Linked DNA regions of Schizosaccharomyces pombe. The gene in region 1 interacts genetically with each later gene. Each region holds a gene or a part of one and is shown on either strand. Other genes may lie near its edges.

Region 1 (7,901 bases):
CAAGGATTATTCTTCTTCTACGGCTCTTTTAAATAATACAGTTGCTGTTAAACAGGATCACAAATTATCTGCAAATACTTTCCTTTCTTCCCCAGTCAAATTGATTGAGAGGGAAAGCAACAGTTGTTCTACAATTTCAATAAATAAAGAGGATGAAGTTGTTCCAAAATCACCACTAAGTTTGGATCGTAAAAAAGTTGATGAAGTCGAAGAACATTCATCAATCGCTAAACTTGACTCTGAAGAAAAAATTAGAGAAACGAAGAAAAAAAATTCATCAACGTCTCTTTCCCCGGATCCAACCTCTGATAATTTTGAATGGGGTTCATGGGTCAGTTCCCAAGATACCTCGAAAAACTCATCGAATTTAGCTTCTGCTTCCGTTGATGATGTAAGTGAAGAGTCTCAAGTTGAGCCAAATACTCTAATTTTTCAGAATTTTAGTTCACCTTCTACTTCATTGTCAGCTCCTAAAGACACTCCGGCTGTTATTCAATCGATCAATACTTCGTTTCTTAATAATGAGAGAGCAGGGCGTGGAAATATAAAAACAGTTGACCAAAATCAACTAATTAATAGAATTGTTGATAAGCTTCCGGATCTTAGTTATCTTGTCGATTGAAAATCTTAATGATCAAAAGGTAAACGTACTAATTTTAATCACATAATGGCTAGAGGAGTTATTGTTATATCTATGCCCAAATGAATATTAACTTTATTGTGAACAAATGTTAACTTAAATAAATCAATTCTAAAAAGATGTAAGAGGAATTGCATCTTCAAACAACGTGTTGTGAATATACAAATGTTTACTAATAGATTGAACGAATGTATACCATTCTCTAGGGGATGAAGGCATGTCAGTTTTATCATCACGATTCCAACATGTGAGGTGAAATGGTTTAAATGTTTTACGTAATCGCGATTCTTCATATTCGCTGCATGAACAATGCAATCGCTTTTCAAACAAATACACTGGAACATGAAATGGATGATTGGGCAAAGTTATGGATAGCGGTAGAGTACCTCCAAAGGAAAATATCCCTCCAAGCTGGTATTTAGTAGACAATTTATAACAACTATATAAAGCAACCATAGCTCCTTGACCAAACCCGAAAAAAAATATTCTAGAAGATAATATACCGTAAGAGAGTAGATTGCCAATTAAATTTGAAATCATCGTAAAACTTTTAGAGAAATCGGCTTCAGATTGCAGTTCCCCGTTTTGATCAAAATGGACATCCTCTCCCCACATCCAATTGCCTCCAGGATTTTCAAAATCTAATGGTAATCGATATGGTCCACGTAAGGAAATATAACTAGTGTTGGGCAACGGAACGTTCTTTGCCATATTTGCAAAACTCTTGTGAGAATCTCCAAGTCCATGCATTAAAATAACTACATTGTGAACCTTGTCTTTCCCTTCAATAATCTCTGCGCATGCATTTGAAGGTAGAACACTGTTTAAAGAAGACATTAGATAAAAGAAATACTAAACCCCGAGGTCAACTATTGAGATTAAACTTCTTGCCATTAACTTGGTTCTGTGTCAACAGTTTGTTCCTGAGCCATACGTATTTCCCGAATTATTTGAGCTATTGCTTCTGGGTGTACGTTGTTTTCACAAAGACTGATGCAGAGTGAAAGCGTTGTTTTATCAAGTTCAGTTCCAAGCAATGTTCCTATTTCGTATAAAACTTCTATTGTCTCTTTGGTAGATTCAGACATAAAACTCGATACTTTATAATAAACTAGTCTAATTATATATACTTCGTAACAAGTTGGTAATGTTAAGTTTACTGGAATAGGCGTCTCGGAGTAGCTCATTATAATCCTCTAAGTAATAAACAAAGTACTTCGTGGTGCATCTAGCTTGTGCTTGTAAAACGAAACCGAAAGTAGGCTCAACCTCAGATTTGAGCAGTCAAAATATTGATGAAATGTATCCTCTCAATGCTAATTCTTATACTCTGCTACGGAAATTAGGATCAGGTTCATTTGGGGTTGTCTGGAAAGCACGTGAAAATGTGTCTGGCGACATTATCGCTATTAAACAGGTAAGACTAATTAATTTTTACTCTTCTTTAGTATCACAAAAAACTTACAGTTGCAGATTGATTTAGAAACAGGTATTGACGACATTACCGACATCGAACAAGAGGTATTTATGTTATCGAATTGCAACAGTTCCAATGTAATTCAGTATTACGGTTGTTTTGTTGACGGATACACATTATGGATTTTGATGGAGCATATGGATGGAGGATCAGTTTCGGGACTTTTGAAAATGGGAAGGTTGAATGAACAAGTAATTTCAATCATTCTTCGAGAGGTCCTTTATGGGCTAAATTATCTTCATGGACAAAACAAAATCCACAGAGATATCAAAGCCGCCAATATACTACTATCTTCCTCTACCGGAAACGTAAAGCTTGCTGACTTTGGAGTTGCCGCTCAACTTTCGAACGCTGCTTCGCGTAGACACACGTTTGTTGGAACGCCATTTTGGATGGCACCGGAAGTAATACAACAAACAAGTTATGGTTTAGCTGCTGACATTTGGTCTCTTGGAATTACGGCTATTGAAATGGCTAACGGAATTCCGCCCCGCGCTACAATGCATCCAATGCGTGTCATCTTTGAAATTCCTCAATCCGAGCCTCCAAAGCTAGATGATCATTTCAGTCCAACATTCCGTGATTTTGTGTCCTGCTGCTTAGATCTCAATCCTAATATGCGATGGTCAGCTAAAGAACTCCTTCAACACCCATTCATCAAAAGCGCAGGAACTGTGAAAGACATTATTCCTTTGCTTGTTCAGAAGGAGAATAAATTATTTGATGATTCGGATCAAAGTGTATTGGAAGAAACCATAAATAATACTTTAAAGCCCTTTGAAGAACCAATTGCTGAAGGAAATGCTGACATTGAGGATTGGACATTTGAAACTGTAAAGAAATCTGACTCAACTGTGTTAGGGAATACTAGCATTCCTAAAAATTCCATCATCAGTTCACAAAATAAAGAGGAATTGCCTTCATCAATAAAATATTTAGAGAAAACTATAATGAGTGATCAAGCGACACCGCATCCTTTTTCCAAGTCATTGTCTGAAAAAGGTAGCTCTTATCATAAATCGTTGACTTCCGATTTTGCTATGAAACATTATATTAAGTCCACCATACGATCGATGTTATTAAATGATAAATTGTCAGCAACGCAGCGCTCATCTTTAGAATCTTTTTATACATCTTTCATTTCTTTAGATAAAAATCTGTCCTCAAAATTTGTTAACCAAATTACTCCAGACAACAGACTGCATCACAAAAAGCAAAAGCGGAGCCCCATATCACAACTACTATTTTCACGGTGGCTTGAAGAAACTGAGAAAAGAAGAAGTCTAAATGGATAGCTTACTAAAAACTCGTAAACAACCTGTTTACAGCATTCACAATTTTGTATTTAAATGAACTTATAATGGCATATTCTACTATAATTTAATCTACATAATATATATAAACACATCCAAACGAGAACTATTCGAAATCAACTTGACACTTGCTTTAAAGCATTTTGTACATTCCAGTTATTTCCAGACAAATATTGTTCAGCCGTTTGATAAGACACAGAAGTATAATTCATGACATAGGTTATTCTGGTTGGTTAGCAAAATTCTCCAAAAAAAAACATACTTAGCCTTTCTCTTAAATTCATCAGCATACTCAATCCACTTTCGTTTGACCACGTCCCATGTGGACCCCTGAGATTGCGCATTTACCATCTTCGCTTTGGAATGTATTAAAGCAGATACTGGTCGGTGATCTGATGCCTTCAGTTCGTACCTGGTATAGTTTTCTGCAGAGATGTAGTCGGGACTTCCACGATAACAGATACGATCACACCAGGCAGGCACACGCTTTTTTTCACTACTGTCGTACTGCTCACTATGAACGTCGTACTTGTAAGTTGGGGCAAACGTGATTTCTGGTTCAGTAAATGTTCTCAGACGAAATCCGGCATTTCTTTTTCGCTCAACAAGAAGCTGATCGCTTTGGAGCAAAGTTTTTATGTCGTTTTTTTTAATTAAATCTAAAGCTTTAGGTCTCAATGTGTTGATTCTATAATTTAAATCACCATGCAAAACACAAACTTCGTGATCCATAATTAAAGAGCCATCGCCACCACCAACGAATGTATTCAATTGATCAGTTTCATCATTTTCAGGAAAAAGAGAAGCATTGTCTAAAATTGTTGCCAAATCATTATTTCTGGCTGCTTTATTGGATTGACCAGCAGCCAAATGACAGTTTACTATGCAATATGAAGTATCATCTACCAGAAAGCGAACGACTATTGCACCTTTGTTACCATGCAAACCACCTAGTCCCGTTTTTACAGTTGTCGATTGTAACATCCGAATTTTGCTTTGTAACTTATTTTTTACAAAAACACATGAGAAAAGACCAACCAAATTTTCACATACCAAAACCTGATAATCATCGTTTGAGCTTACCCGCATCATTTCAGATTCTAATTTTTCACGCCATAAACGATACTGACTGGAAATATTAGCACTGTTAGACGAACCACCTTTGGAGCTCGACTTTGAAAGGATGCTTCTAGCTGTGAGTCTTTTATTCTCCAAATCAACTAGCTCTTGAAAACCAAACACAACTATATCTGGGTATCCATTGTCTCGAATCATCATTGGAATCATACTAGCTCCAATAGTATCACTATCTAGATCAGATGGCTTTGAAGCTCCGGCATTCCAGGAACAAATAAGTATAGACACGTCAGTAAAATTACTATATTCTGGGAAGCGGCTTCGCATTTCGGTAGCTAACCAGTCACCCATCATTAAACCATCCCAAAACTTGACAACTGAAGAAGCCATACTAACAACTTGGAGCCTTTTAGCTTTCCATACGCTATTCACATCAATACCAAGTATAGTGGTAGCTCCATTGTGACTTGCTTTATGACCATGCCAACTTTTTAAGAGGCGCCAAGGACTCTCAGAAACATCAAATACGTAAATCATGCCTGTCGTGTAGGCTGCCCAAAGTGTATTTCCAACACCAACTAGTGAACAAATTCTATAGAATGAACTGCTAGTAATTAGCTCCAAAAAACGGTATTGGGTTTTCGAAAAGATGGATATTTTTCCATCAACGTGACCATAGAAGACCAAATCCGTAAAGTTTGAAATAGTAGTGCCACAAGAGATATCACCTATCAAACCAGGTGGAGTCATGGGCTTCGCCAAAACACTTGCCGACTCATTTTCTGAAGTTGAAGGATCATATACATAAATTGATTTCCCAACAACAACCCATAAAAGCCGATTATCTAAAACCATAGCATGAGTGGCATGAGGAATGGTGCGAATACTATGTGGAGTAGACTGTATACTTAAACCCATAATTTCATCTTCCTGCCATACATACAGTTTTCCCATATCGTCCAACGTCCACATTTCATTTTTATAGACCATAACGTAAGTAATAGGACAATTGGAAACAGACTTCTTAGTAACGATATGATGATTTTGAACATCGACTTCCCATAACATCCCATCTCTCGTTCCAAACCAAACAAATCTGCCATCGTCAGAGTAATTCTCCGGGGATGATTTAAATGATAAGGACGTTACCTTCGTATCCCCTAGAGGCATATGCCAATGACAAAGACCAGTAACGGTGTCATAAACACGAAGTCCTCCGTTTCCAGCTAAAACAAGGCGATCACCACTAACATCAAAGATTCTAGCTTCAAAATCTACGTTAATTGATTCAACACCGTTAACAAAACAGGGCGGGTTCCTCCTAACGCTAGAAGTATCTGGTATGCTTCCTTTTAAAACAACATCTAATTGCGATGACGAAGAGGAACTAGCAGCAACAGAAGGATCACTTTGCTCAGTAGAAACAGGCATAGAGACAGGTTTGTTAGTAGCTAAGGATTTCACCCTCGGTGGTGGTGGAGGAAACAAAGGGGATGGTTTAGAAGATAAGTTTTCAGATGTTAAAGCTGGACTAGACAGTTCTGATAAAGTGTGACTAGGACGGGGAGGTAATCTGGGTTTCTCAGGTATTAAAGACATCTCTGATGCAGGAGCAATATGAGTGTAGGGAGACGACTGTAAACCAGTAACAAGACTGGCGTCACTTTTAGTAGCCAAATTCTCTATTGGGGAAGAAGAGCGCTGGGTAGAAACTTTACGCAGCGGTGGTTTTGGGGGCTTTCGGGGAGATACATGAAGCGGTAATTGTTGAGATATTACCGCACGCGATTGCTGTATAGCCTCAACAGCAACTGGCTGTGGAGGTCTTGGAGAGGGAATTGGAGGAGGAGTTTCCAAAGACCTGTCTCCAATGTTCAAAACAGGAGGCGCCGTCGATATGGGACACTCCTTTCCAAAGGTCTGGCTAAATGGATCATGCAAATCAAAGGAGGGCACACTTTTACTAGAATTGATAACGTTTTCTTCTTCTTCTTCAGAAGACAGAACCGAAGAGGCTTCGGAGTGAGTTGGAGACTGAGAAATATATGCCTTAACATTTTTTAATGGAGATACAGATATCGGGCTTGAAGAACCTGCTTTCGAAGAAAAATTGGGTTTAGGGGGTGGTATTTGATGATTATTGGTATCATCGTGTTTCATTAGATCATTTCCTTTGGTAGATTGTACAGATGATTGAAAAGAAATTTCAGGCCCTTTTTGTTGAGGTCGCTTAAGTAATGGAGAAACAGAAACAAATGAATTAGATATAGTAGGAGAAGATGGAGTAGCTACGTGAGATTCAGAAGAATCACTAGGTAGACGATCTATTTTTGAAACATCAGCGTGGGGGTTTGAAGGATTTTTAAAATTAGAAGCTAGCCTTTGAATTGAACCACTAACTTTTCGTCCAGTCGAACTTCCTATAGTCGATGAGACTTGCCTCGGCGGTGGAATAGGTCTTGCTTTAAAAACGTTTGGCTCAGAAGTGCCATTTTTACAACCTTTTACAGTTCTTCTTTTAGCAGTTTTTTCGTCCAAATTAGTTAGGTCACCGGTACTCAATGACTCGAACTTTGATTTCAATGATAAAACCGAAGGGGGCAACTCGGGTTCATCTTCATTCACATTGCTGAAGCCTTGGCGAGAGGCCATGTTCCATGATTACGACAATCTTATGCTTTAAATCAATTTTTTAAATAAATCACCTTTTTTAAATACTTCTAAAATCTATTAGGTGCTGTTTGGACCTTTTGCGCTTTTCAGCTAATTGTTGGAAAAAGACAACCAAGACACTGCGTGGGCTGACCTATTATGAAATAAACAAAGCCTCGTGCACTCAAACACACGCATCAACAATACTCCAAATAATCATTTTTACAGAAAACAAAAGGGAAGATGATGTAGAAATTCGCATAATACAAATTAGGAATTCCAAAAAACTATCAAATATTTTTTAGGCATTTGTATTGCTTAACTAAATAGTTTACTTCACATTTATAGAAACAATTTTGAAAGCCATTCTCAAGGCAATGAAAGATCATATTGTCATGTAGCTAAATATTTGTAACATATTATTAAGCATTGACTATAAACACACATTGCACAATTTTATTTCAGAAAGACACAAAACGAGAAATTTTAAGTACTTATGCAAGAAATTTTATAAGATACAGAAAATTTATTCGATATCAAAATTATATAAAAATTGAGCAACTTATGAAAGCATATGTACTATACGTTGAATAAAACCACAATAAAAGAGTGTATAAAGGCATAGAAAAAATAAAATAAAATCATATAGTTAATTGATTGTCTAAAGAATGTAATTTATACGGGAGGCAAGATAGACGTTTGACATTATGTATTAGAAATGAAGGACCATAAAAGATGATAG
Region 2 (4,565 bases), 1.5 Mb from region 1:
TAAAAAGAATATGTTTTATAAAAGTTATTTTATTCGTATGCTGCATAATATCATTCTTTACTTAGGTTTCAAACATACCTATGAAGAAAACCTTAAAACAATAGCGATTTCATGAATATTATAAGAATAATTTAATTCGTTCTAGTTTAATAAGCATCATTTATAGTATGTGAATGCCAGTCAATAAAGTATTTGTGATATTCAAGTCAACTGAACAACGTTGCCTCCGCCATCTACTGGTTACTACAAAATGACTGATTATATCAAAGATAAAGCTATAGCAGCTGATTTTTCTTCAGTTCAATTTCGTTTTGATAACTATTTAAAGCAAAATTTTAATTTCGGAAGGTCTGCCTTGCTAAACTCTGGAAATGGACGCGATTCTGGATCGAAAATGGGTAGCGTGGTTTGCAAGCATTGGTATGTATATATAAAGAAGAGTAATATGAATATATATTTCATGTATTTTTCTATTTGTTTTTGTTTCTACCTTCATGATAACTAATATTATATAAGGCTTCGTGGACTTTGTAAAAAAGGTGAACAGTGTGATTTTTTACACGAGTACAATTTAAAAAAGATGCCTCCATGTCACTTTTATGCAGAGCGCGGCTGGTGTTCTAATGGCGAAGAGTGTTTATATCTCCATTTGGATCCCAGTAAACAAGTTGGTGTCTGTGCCTGGTATAATATGGGATTTTGTCCTTTAGGACCTATATGTCGAGGCAAACATGTACGAAAACCAAGGCCTTGCCCAAAATATTTAGCTGGGTTTTGTCCGCTAGGCCCTAATTGCCCAGATGCTCAGTAAGTTTTTTGAAGAATTATAGTGTTGACTTTCTCTTTCTATTACTAACATGTTCTAGTCCTAAACACTCTGAACCTCCGCATCCTCCTCAAAAGCGGAAAGACTGGTAAAGGATGCGTTTTTTAATGTGTCACTGTATATTAGGTAATGAAATCAAGTTATCAATGGAGTATATGCAATTAGTGATGCCGTACATTGATTATTGAGATTTTTTTTTATGGAATAAAATTAATTATCGACGTTGGGTTTGTCTTGGTTGCGGCGAACCAAATCGACACATAATCGGGATAATAGAAGTATTTAGAAACCGAAAAATAAGTTTTAAATAATAAGTCTCCCTTTTACATATGTTTTTTGCAACATAGAAGGAAAAGAAAATTTAGGAACTTAAGTATCGTTTACCAGTATGTAAAACGCTTACGTAGAGCGCCATCGTAATGTATCAAGGACGGTTTATTCATTTAATCATTCATACGTTATTCGTAAAATATTTGCTACTTTCCAGTTATGTTTCTTATTTTTTTGTAATTTACTTATCTGCTGTATTCAATTTTGCAAACTATAAAAACAATATGGATCTTTTATATGACAATGAACTTCTAGTTTTTTATAATCAAAAACACCTTTCTTTAGCGTACAAATGATTAAGGTTTCATTAATGGGAAATTGCCAACAAGTTTTACACTGGACTTTGTAAAGTTGAGCAAAAAATCCTATGTGTAGTAAAGCGTAAGATGAACACTGAAGTAATGAAATAGTGTTGTATTTATCAAAAATCCATTAATAACTTAAAGTCGCTTAAGGCTTGATTTACCGATAAAAATTTTACTGAGCTTTTGACTCGCCGAAGAGTGGTGTAGATTCGTTAGGGTAGCAGCATTTGATACGAACCATCAAGTTAGGAAAATCAGCAGCCCTCCAAAAAAGCCAGTGAAAACTGGGAAACTTTGTATCAAAACTTTTGAAAAAAGATCCAAAGACGGTATAGAGATACCCTTAGAAATTTGAAGATCAAGATCTTCGTATACAATTGAAATTGGCAAAGTGTACCAACGGGAACGAAATCTTAATATAATACGAGTAGAAGATGGATGATATAGAAGACTCTTTGGATCAGTGGAAATTTGCCCAGTATGTAAACGATGTGTGAAAAAAATTAATGACTAACTCTTTAGATGCTTTGGTGACAAGGGTGATGTGGAAGACATCACTGAAGGTATTGGTTTTGAGTAGTTCTCTCATAAAAGAGTTCTCTTTTACTTTAATCACTGAATAAATGACTAACAAGTTTAGCCGATATCATTTCAGCAGTAGAATTCGACCACACAGGTGATTATCTAGCAACCGGCGATAAAGGTGGCAGAGTCGTTCTTTTTGAGCGAAATCATTCGAAAAAGGGTTGTGAGTATAAGTTTTTTACTGAATTTCAAAGTCATGAACCCGAGTTTGATTATCTCAAGTCCTTAGAAATCGAAGAAAAGATCAATAAAATTCGCTGGTGCAAGAGGACTAATCGAGCGCATTTTTTACTCTCAACGAATGATAAAACTATAAAATTGTGGAAACTATATGAAAAGAATTTGAAAGTCGTTGCCGAAAATAATTTGTCGGACAGTTTCCACAGTCCTATGCAAGGACCTTTGACAACACCTTCGCAACTTCGACTCCCACGACTCAACCATCATGACATGATTATCGCTGCATATCCACGACGTGTTTACGCTAATGCACACGCATATCATATTAATTCGATTAGCGTTAACTCTGATGCAGAAACTTACATTTCCGCTGATGATTTACGTATCAACTTATGGAACTTGTCCATCTCCGATCATTCATTCAACATAGTTGACATTAAACCTGAAAATATGGAAGAACTTACGGAAGTTATTACTAGTGCCGAGTTTCACCCGATAAACTGCAATCATCTCATGTATAGTAGCAGCAAGGGAAATATCAAACTCTTAGATTTGCGTCAATCTGCGCTCTGCGATAATCCATGTAAGCTTTTCGAGGATCAAGAAGATCAAGATTCCAAGAGTTTCTTTTCTGAAATCATCTCTAGCATTTCAGACGTTAAGTTCTCACAAAATGGCCGCTATATTCTTTCAAGAGATTATTTAACTCTTAAGATATGGGATGTCAACATGGAAAAAGCTCCCGTTAAAACTATTCCATTGCATGATGTTTTGCGATCAAAGTTATGCGATCTCTATGAAAATGACTGTATTTTTGATAAATTCGAGTGTACCTTTTCTGGTGACGACAAACACGTTTTATCAGGAAGTTATAGCAACAACTTTGGGATTTACCCCACAGATAGTTCTTTGCCTGGCGATAGAGGACAGATAGTTTTGCAAGCCGACAAGGCTGCATTTAGAGCCAGAAAATCTGCTGCAAATAACGTTCCAAAGTTGAATGCTGTGAAAAATAATGATTGGCGGTCACAACCTCAAGCTGCGATGGGATCTGCTTCTGTTGGCCTTGATCCTGATAACCTGGATTACAATAAGAAGATATTACATGCCAGTTGGCATCCCTTTGAAGACTCAGTTGCCATCGCCGCTACTAATAATGTACGTTTGCTTATCAACTTTTTGTTTACTAATGTTTCAATAGCTTTTTGTTTTCTCTAAGCTCTAATGTCCTTATGTGGAGTTTGGTTTGTTTTTATGATCTACGGATAGACTGAACATAGTTCCTTTTTTATTGAACTTCCGGGAATAAGAGTTTTCTTACCTTCTTCTTTCAGATTGTATTCTTATATACACACACCATTTTAACCATTAATGACAGAAATAAAGTTTTTAGGACTAATGATAAAAGGGTGCTTTGTTTATCTCCCTTCATGTATGCCGTGAATCGATACATATGTACTTTGCTATCCACAGTATTTTTCTTTTTCTCTTTTTACGTGTTCCTTTTTAATCTTGAAATTGTGGTGATGCATCGTAAATTTCAACGTTTTTTCAATATCTCACAAAGTTTTTTTCTCTTGTTGAAAAAAATCTGAATTTGAAATCGTAAAAGTACTTTTCAGGTTAAGCTTCACCATTAATTTACCTTCAGCTCTTTTTTGTTGAACAACGAGTAATAATGTGTTAAGTTTTCTATATAAATGACGGGAGATCGATTGCAAAAATATGACTAAATGTCATAAAGTCTTTGGTTCACTAAAAAGGCTACAATTATTTTTACTAAGGCATGATTCATCAATGCATAAGAAATGATTATTTATACGTATTTTGCACCTGAAAAAAAAACCTAGTAAATTGAGGGAACATTAGTAGCTATAGTAAAAAGAGTAGAAAATCAAATGTAAAGCGAATATATGTATAAACTGAATCATATAGAGTATACCAACACTTAGACTCAATAGGATCTTAAATGCTGAATGACTTTTCTAAAGAATGAAAGAAGGGGAATAGTATAATTTTCGAATGAAGCAATGCGACTGATAAAAGAAACTCCTCACAAATTAGGATATTAACTGAAGAATATGAGTTGAAGAGACAAAGCGAGCAAACAGTGAAAGACGATAATTCCGAACAATAAAAGTTTGCACAAATTTGATCCGGCTTGCTGACAGATAGGATATAAATTTCTAGTTAAAAACACAATGGAAATTAACAAACCAATCCCTGTAAGTACATATTTGACAATATGGGAGGCCAAAGTAGATAGCAATCCAAACGGAGGAGTTGCTAAAGAAACGGGAAGCCAAACAATGTTAGCATATCCATATAAACACAGACAG
Region 3 (4,720 bases), on another chromosome or scaffold:
AAAGCACTTTATAGTAAGAGTGTGATAAGTTTCTTTTCGATCATCTTACTTTTATAGAGCTATTATTTTACTACAAATAAATAAGTTCGTTCACTTTGCATAATATCAACTATACGCAGTTAGTTTGCCCGGATCAAGAAATTCATGTTTAGCTGGTCTTCGTTATAAACATACTAAAGAATAGAAAGATTTTACTAATATCAGTTTTTGTTAACACTATTGAACCATTATGAGTAATGTCGAGGGTAAAGTAATTACTATACAACAAATAATGGCATTTTTTGTGAATTTAGGTACTGCCTATAATAATATAAATACTAAAGCTCGTGAAAATATTTGAATATTGTAATCTAATTTGTTCTTTTTTTTTACGAATTTTAGTCCGGAAAATTTTACTAATATACTAATTACTGTCATTGTCTGGTCTCCTGTTTCCTACAACTAGCAGTTTTAATTTTACAATCAGTCATCAAAAAAGGATTTGAAATGAAGCAACTTAATGGACATTAAAGAACGTTCCATTTAGAATTTCAACATCTTTTTATCAGCATCAAAGTTAAATCAAGTTTTGCTAGCTAATTAACATGTAATTTTATTAATAAGTCAAAATTATGCAGAAAGCCAAGAAAACTAAATTTATTATATACGCAATATGATAGCACAACAACGCTATTACAGAATTCTTTTGCTATTGGACTTATGATGAAAAAAAAAAAAAAAACGAGCGTAAAGGGAGTTAATCAAAAACAAGAAATTTACACTAGGGCCGCCAAGCCAGCCAAAGCACTGTTTCTTTTGGCTTTCCTCTTTTTCTTTGTATTTAGTACAGTACTTGCTCTTTTCTCAACGGGAATAGGATTGGATCTATCTTCCTTCTCCGAATTGTCGCTTTCATCTGAAGAACTCCCTGACTCTTCACTTTCAGAAGATTCATCAGAACGCCCTTCTTCTTTTGATTCCTGCATACTGACCGCGGTCTTCTTCGTAAGAGAAGGTTCTCTAATTTCAGGAGAAAACGTTTTAGACAATTCTGAAAGACGTGAGTAAGACAATGTCCTATGAGTCTCCGGTCTTTCCGTAGAAGGCTTAGCTTTAGGTTCCTTCGGGGATCCTTTGGTTCCTCTATTCTGTATCTCGTGAGATACAGAATTTCGTTGTTGTGATTTCTTCTGTAGTTGACTTAAAGGAACAGAGGAGTCCGAGTCTGAATCCGAATCTGAATCATTTTCAGAACCAATCTCATCAGAAGGTTCATTTCCCGCTGCAGATATCGTCGATGTAGTAACAAGGGTCTGGGAAGGAGGGGGAAATTTGCTTTTACCATTCTCACTTTCTTTATCATGCTTAGCTGAAACGTTATCATTAACCAGAGATTTATTCGGGCTATCAACCTTCGTTAAATCATCACTAGTATCTGAATTTTCGGACGGGGAAGAAGATATAGAGGTCGTAGAGGATTCAGAAAGGGTATCGTTCTCCGATTCGGTGGTATCGTTTTCGGAAGGAACGGCAGTGGATGGATGAGATGAAGTTTCTCTAACTATTATTGCAGGAGCTCTAATTTCATGCTTTGCCTCCGTTTCTTTTTCATCGGATACATCTGATGAACTGTCATCATTGACTGAATCTTCATTTGGGCTTTCAACAGAAACTTCTCGAGTAGAAGAACGCAATGATTTATCATCAATTCCATCAATGGTTTCACTTTCTTTAATTAATGCGGCAGGAGAATGTTCGACTAAATATTTTCTATCATTATCTTTCATGCGAAGACGGGAAGGCGATGATAAAGTTCGCAAGGGAGCATCTGACGATGAATCAGAAGACGCATCGTTAATTGAAAAAAAGTTAGCTCGATTATAAGTTGTTGGTTGACTTGGTGTTAAGGAACTATTGAAGGATTGGTGATTATCATCTTCCTCCTGAGTAACTGATAAATTAACTATACCGTCAGCCTTTCTATCTTTATCTGGACTTTCAATTTCTTTTAAAGCAATCCCTTCGGTTAATGTACTTTCATTATCATGATTTGAAGAAATTGAGTATGCTCGATCGCGAATACTAGTTGGTCTGTATACAAATCCAGGAGAGTTCGCATCAATTGCCTCTACAAAATTTTTTTTTGGTAGTTTTCGAGGGTTTTCACTCTCATCCGGATGCGTACGCTTCCCATTGATTGCATGAACACCATTAGATGCACTTTGGACAGTAGCGAAATCATTTTCAACGCCATCTAAATCATGTTGAATATTTTTTTCTTTGAAGTTTATCATAGTCCCATCTAATTTCTTCAACGGAGAAGAGAATGATTCGACAATGACCTTGGAATTAGTGGGAAAGATTTCACCGACTAAGTACTCATTAGGAATGTCGTAGCTTTCTTCATTTTTTATATTTCTTATGTTTATATTTCTATAATAATTTTCGTTAATAGTAGAAAGATGGAGCATGCTGCTATGCTTACGATTCAAAAGGATAAAGTGATTTGTAAGTTTCCTGCACTTTTTCTTTTAATAAAGAAATTGAAGAAGATGGGTCAAACAGAATCATAAATTGATTATCTTGTTCACCATCTTTGATTATATGAAGCCTTAATGTAGTTCTCATTTCGAATATTCAGCAAATTTCTTTATTTGATTCTTACGGAGAAGTGGATCCGGCAAACTAGTTATAATGGAATTAATCAGTATTAAAAAGACGTTAAAACAAAGTAAGTTATTTAAAATGGAATGCCCATTTCTTGACACCAATGGGTATCCAAAGTTGGTTGCTCTAAGGAAGTGCGTAAAGTTCTATTCGCAATTTACTCGGCATGACAGCAGGAAGGGTGGGACAGCAGTGATGAACAAGTTAAAGGTGTAAAATAATGCTAAATGTCAAGAAATAAAAACTCATTACTCATTCCTACGACTCGAGCATATTGACACGTATCTTAAGGTTTTATGGTCCTTCCAAATCTAACGAAACATATTGGCTTAATATATCTTCCTTTCAATTGCGTGAATTAACATTTGAATACAAGTAAATAAACTATCATAGATTAAAAGAACGACAGATGTATTAGTCAGAATTAAAGAATATTCAACAGAAAAGTAGTTTGACGTCTCAGAATAATTTCTATAGGTTGTAAATTAGCTTAAAGCAATTAATTGGCAGAAAAATTAAATGATAGGAGTTATCTATTAGTAAATTGTTAATTCTCCATATGTAAATCCGGATCGAGGAACATTATTGTTTGACCATTGTTTGTAGTTAAAAGAACACCAAGGTCTGTATATTCCTGTATTGTATTTATTAAATGATCTTCAGTAAAACCCTTAGCAAGTACGCGTTCACGAATAGCACGTAGTGTAAGTGAGCGTTCATTGCCTTCAACATCTGGTATGCTATTAAGCATGTCTCGAATAATTTTATATATTTTCGAGGTAATAGTAGTATCGTGAGAACTAGGATCCAAATCATCGTATAGTGATGACTTTGAAACAGACATTAATCTCAAAGCTTCATCAACATCGCCAATCTCCACTCTATTACTGAAACGCAAACGAGCTAATGCTTGTCCCATTCGCAAAATAGCGAGAAGTGTACGTGGAGTAGTGTGAGCGAATTGACGCTCATTGGCTTCATCACGCTTTTGGTTTTGTCGAAGTTGAACATAAGCACCAGTAACATAGTCGCATACATCCTTTGGTACGACTGGGCGATATTGTCTAGCAGAAGAAATATAATGCCTAATCATGTTTGGATCTAATGGTTCAAAGTCCATTTTAGGTTGTTCGTTATGCATGTGAACATATGTTACGTGTTGTGCCAAATGCTCGTCTGTTTCACGAGAAGGAGTATCTAAAATTAAAAATAAAATATCAAACCGGGAAAGCAGTGCAGCTGGAAGATTTATATTGTGGATTGGTGCCACTTTCGGATTATATCGTCCATATAAGGGGTTCGCAGCGGCCAAAATACTTGTTCGAGCATTTAAAGTCGTAGTGATTCCTGCCTTTGAAATTGAAATAGTTTGCTGTTCCATTACTTCATGAATTGCTGTACGGTCACTTTCATCCATCTTATCAAATTCGTCAATGCAGCAAATACCGTTGTCAGCAAGTACTAAGGCACCTCCCTCTAAAACCATTTCATCCGTCACTGGATCACGCATTACAGCAGCAGTTAAACCAACACCTGAAGATCCACGACCTGTGGTGTATACTCCTCTCGGGGCAACCTTCGAAATATACTTTAATAATTGAGATTTTGCGACACCAGGATCACCAGTTAAACAAATATTTATGTCACCACGAATTCTCATTCCATCCCCTAACTCTTTAGTAACACCTCCGACAAGCAACAGAAGTAAAGCTTTTTTAACATCTTCATGTCCATATATCTCGGGAGCAATGGACTTGGCCAGTTTTTCGTACACATTGCCTCCTTGATTTAATTCAGCGATAGCAGCCTCCGATTGAGGAGTTTTTTCAATATTTGTGTAATTTTTAATGATTTGTGAAACATAATGGCATTCTAAGTAAGTATCGGTTAAGAGCCCGGCGCGCATTGCTCGAAAACCAGTATACGGAGTCGGCAAAAATATACCAGAAATATCAACGATATCGCCAGGATTTACAGAGCGAGTGATAGCACCATATAAGTGGACGGTTAATGATCTAGGGATATGGCCAATAGGTACTTGGTTCGTTAATTCTTGTATTTTTACTTCCTGAAA

Evidence for each region. A genetic interaction does not mean that the proteins touch.
Region 2: of sid1 (region 1) and pab1, a mutation in one rescues a mutant of the other (synthetic rescue), as found in Schizosaccharomyces pombe (one study listed by BioGRID).
Region 3: of sid1 (region 1) and dnt1, a mutation in one rescues a mutant of the other (synthetic rescue), as found in Schizosaccharomyces pombe (one study listed by BioGRID).

The regions. Positions count from the first base shown.
Region 1 is NC_003424.3:1,983,817-1,991,717, forward strand, and holds sid1 (PAK-like GC kinase Sid1), read left to right. Parts: upstream 1-1,881; 5' UTR 1,882-1,940; coding exon 1,941-2,057; intron 2,058-2,113; coding exon 2,114-3,412; 3' UTR 3,413-3,546; coding exon of another isoform or gene 3,547-3,655; 3' UTR 3,656-3,692; coding exon of another isoform or gene 3,693-7,159; 3' UTR 7,160-7,418; downstream 7,419-7,901. Other genes in the region: SPOM_SPAC9G1.07 (Schizosaccharomyces specific protein), read left to right, coding at 1-391, 437-622; SPOM_SPAC9G1.08C (phospholipase), read right to left, coding at 752-1,477; putative mitotic spindle organizing protein Mzt1, read right to left, coding at 1,534-1,728; inp53 (inositol polyphosphate phosphatase), read right to left, coding at 3,547-3,655, 3,693-7,159. UniProt on the Schizosaccharomyces pombe protein: Has a role in the septation initiation network (SIN) required for cytokinesis.
Region 2 is NC_003424.3:507,022-511,586, reverse strand, and holds pab1 (serine/threonine protein phosphatase PP2A regulatory subunit B-55 Pab1), read left to right. Parts: upstream 1-1,693; 5' UTR 1,694-1,895; coding exon 1,896-1,939; intron 1,940-1,983; coding exon 1,984-2,024; intron 2,025-2,101; coding exon 2,102-3,384; intron 3,385-3,406; exon of another isoform or gene 3,407-3,427; coding exon 3,428-3,451; 3' UTR 3,452-4,065; downstream 4,066-4,565. Other genes in the region: cleavage and polyadenylation specificity factor complex subunit Yth1, read left to right, coding at 251-420, 517-807, 867-918; yip5 (Rab GTPase-binding protein), read right to left, coding at 4,295-4,565. UniProt on the Schizosaccharomyces pombe protein: Phosphatase 2A affects a variety of biological processes in the cell such as transcription, cell cycle progression and cellular morphogenesis, and provides an initial identification of critical substrates for this phosphatase.
Region 3 is NC_003423.3:3,714,445-3,719,164, forward strand, and holds dnt1 (nucleolar protein Dnt1), read right to left. Parts: upstream 2,775-4,720; 5' UTR 2,608-2,774; coding exon 2,465-2,607; exon of another isoform or gene 2,413-2,464; coding exon 756-2,412; 3' UTR 501-755; downstream 1-500. Other genes in the region: MCM complex subunit Mcm7, read right to left, coding at 3,194-4,720. UniProt on the Schizosaccharomyces pombe protein: Negatively regulates the septation initiation network (SIN) pathway, independently of the cdc14 phosphatase clp1. May also have a role in silencing rDNA transcription. Required for maintaining the exclusive nucleolus localization of nuc1.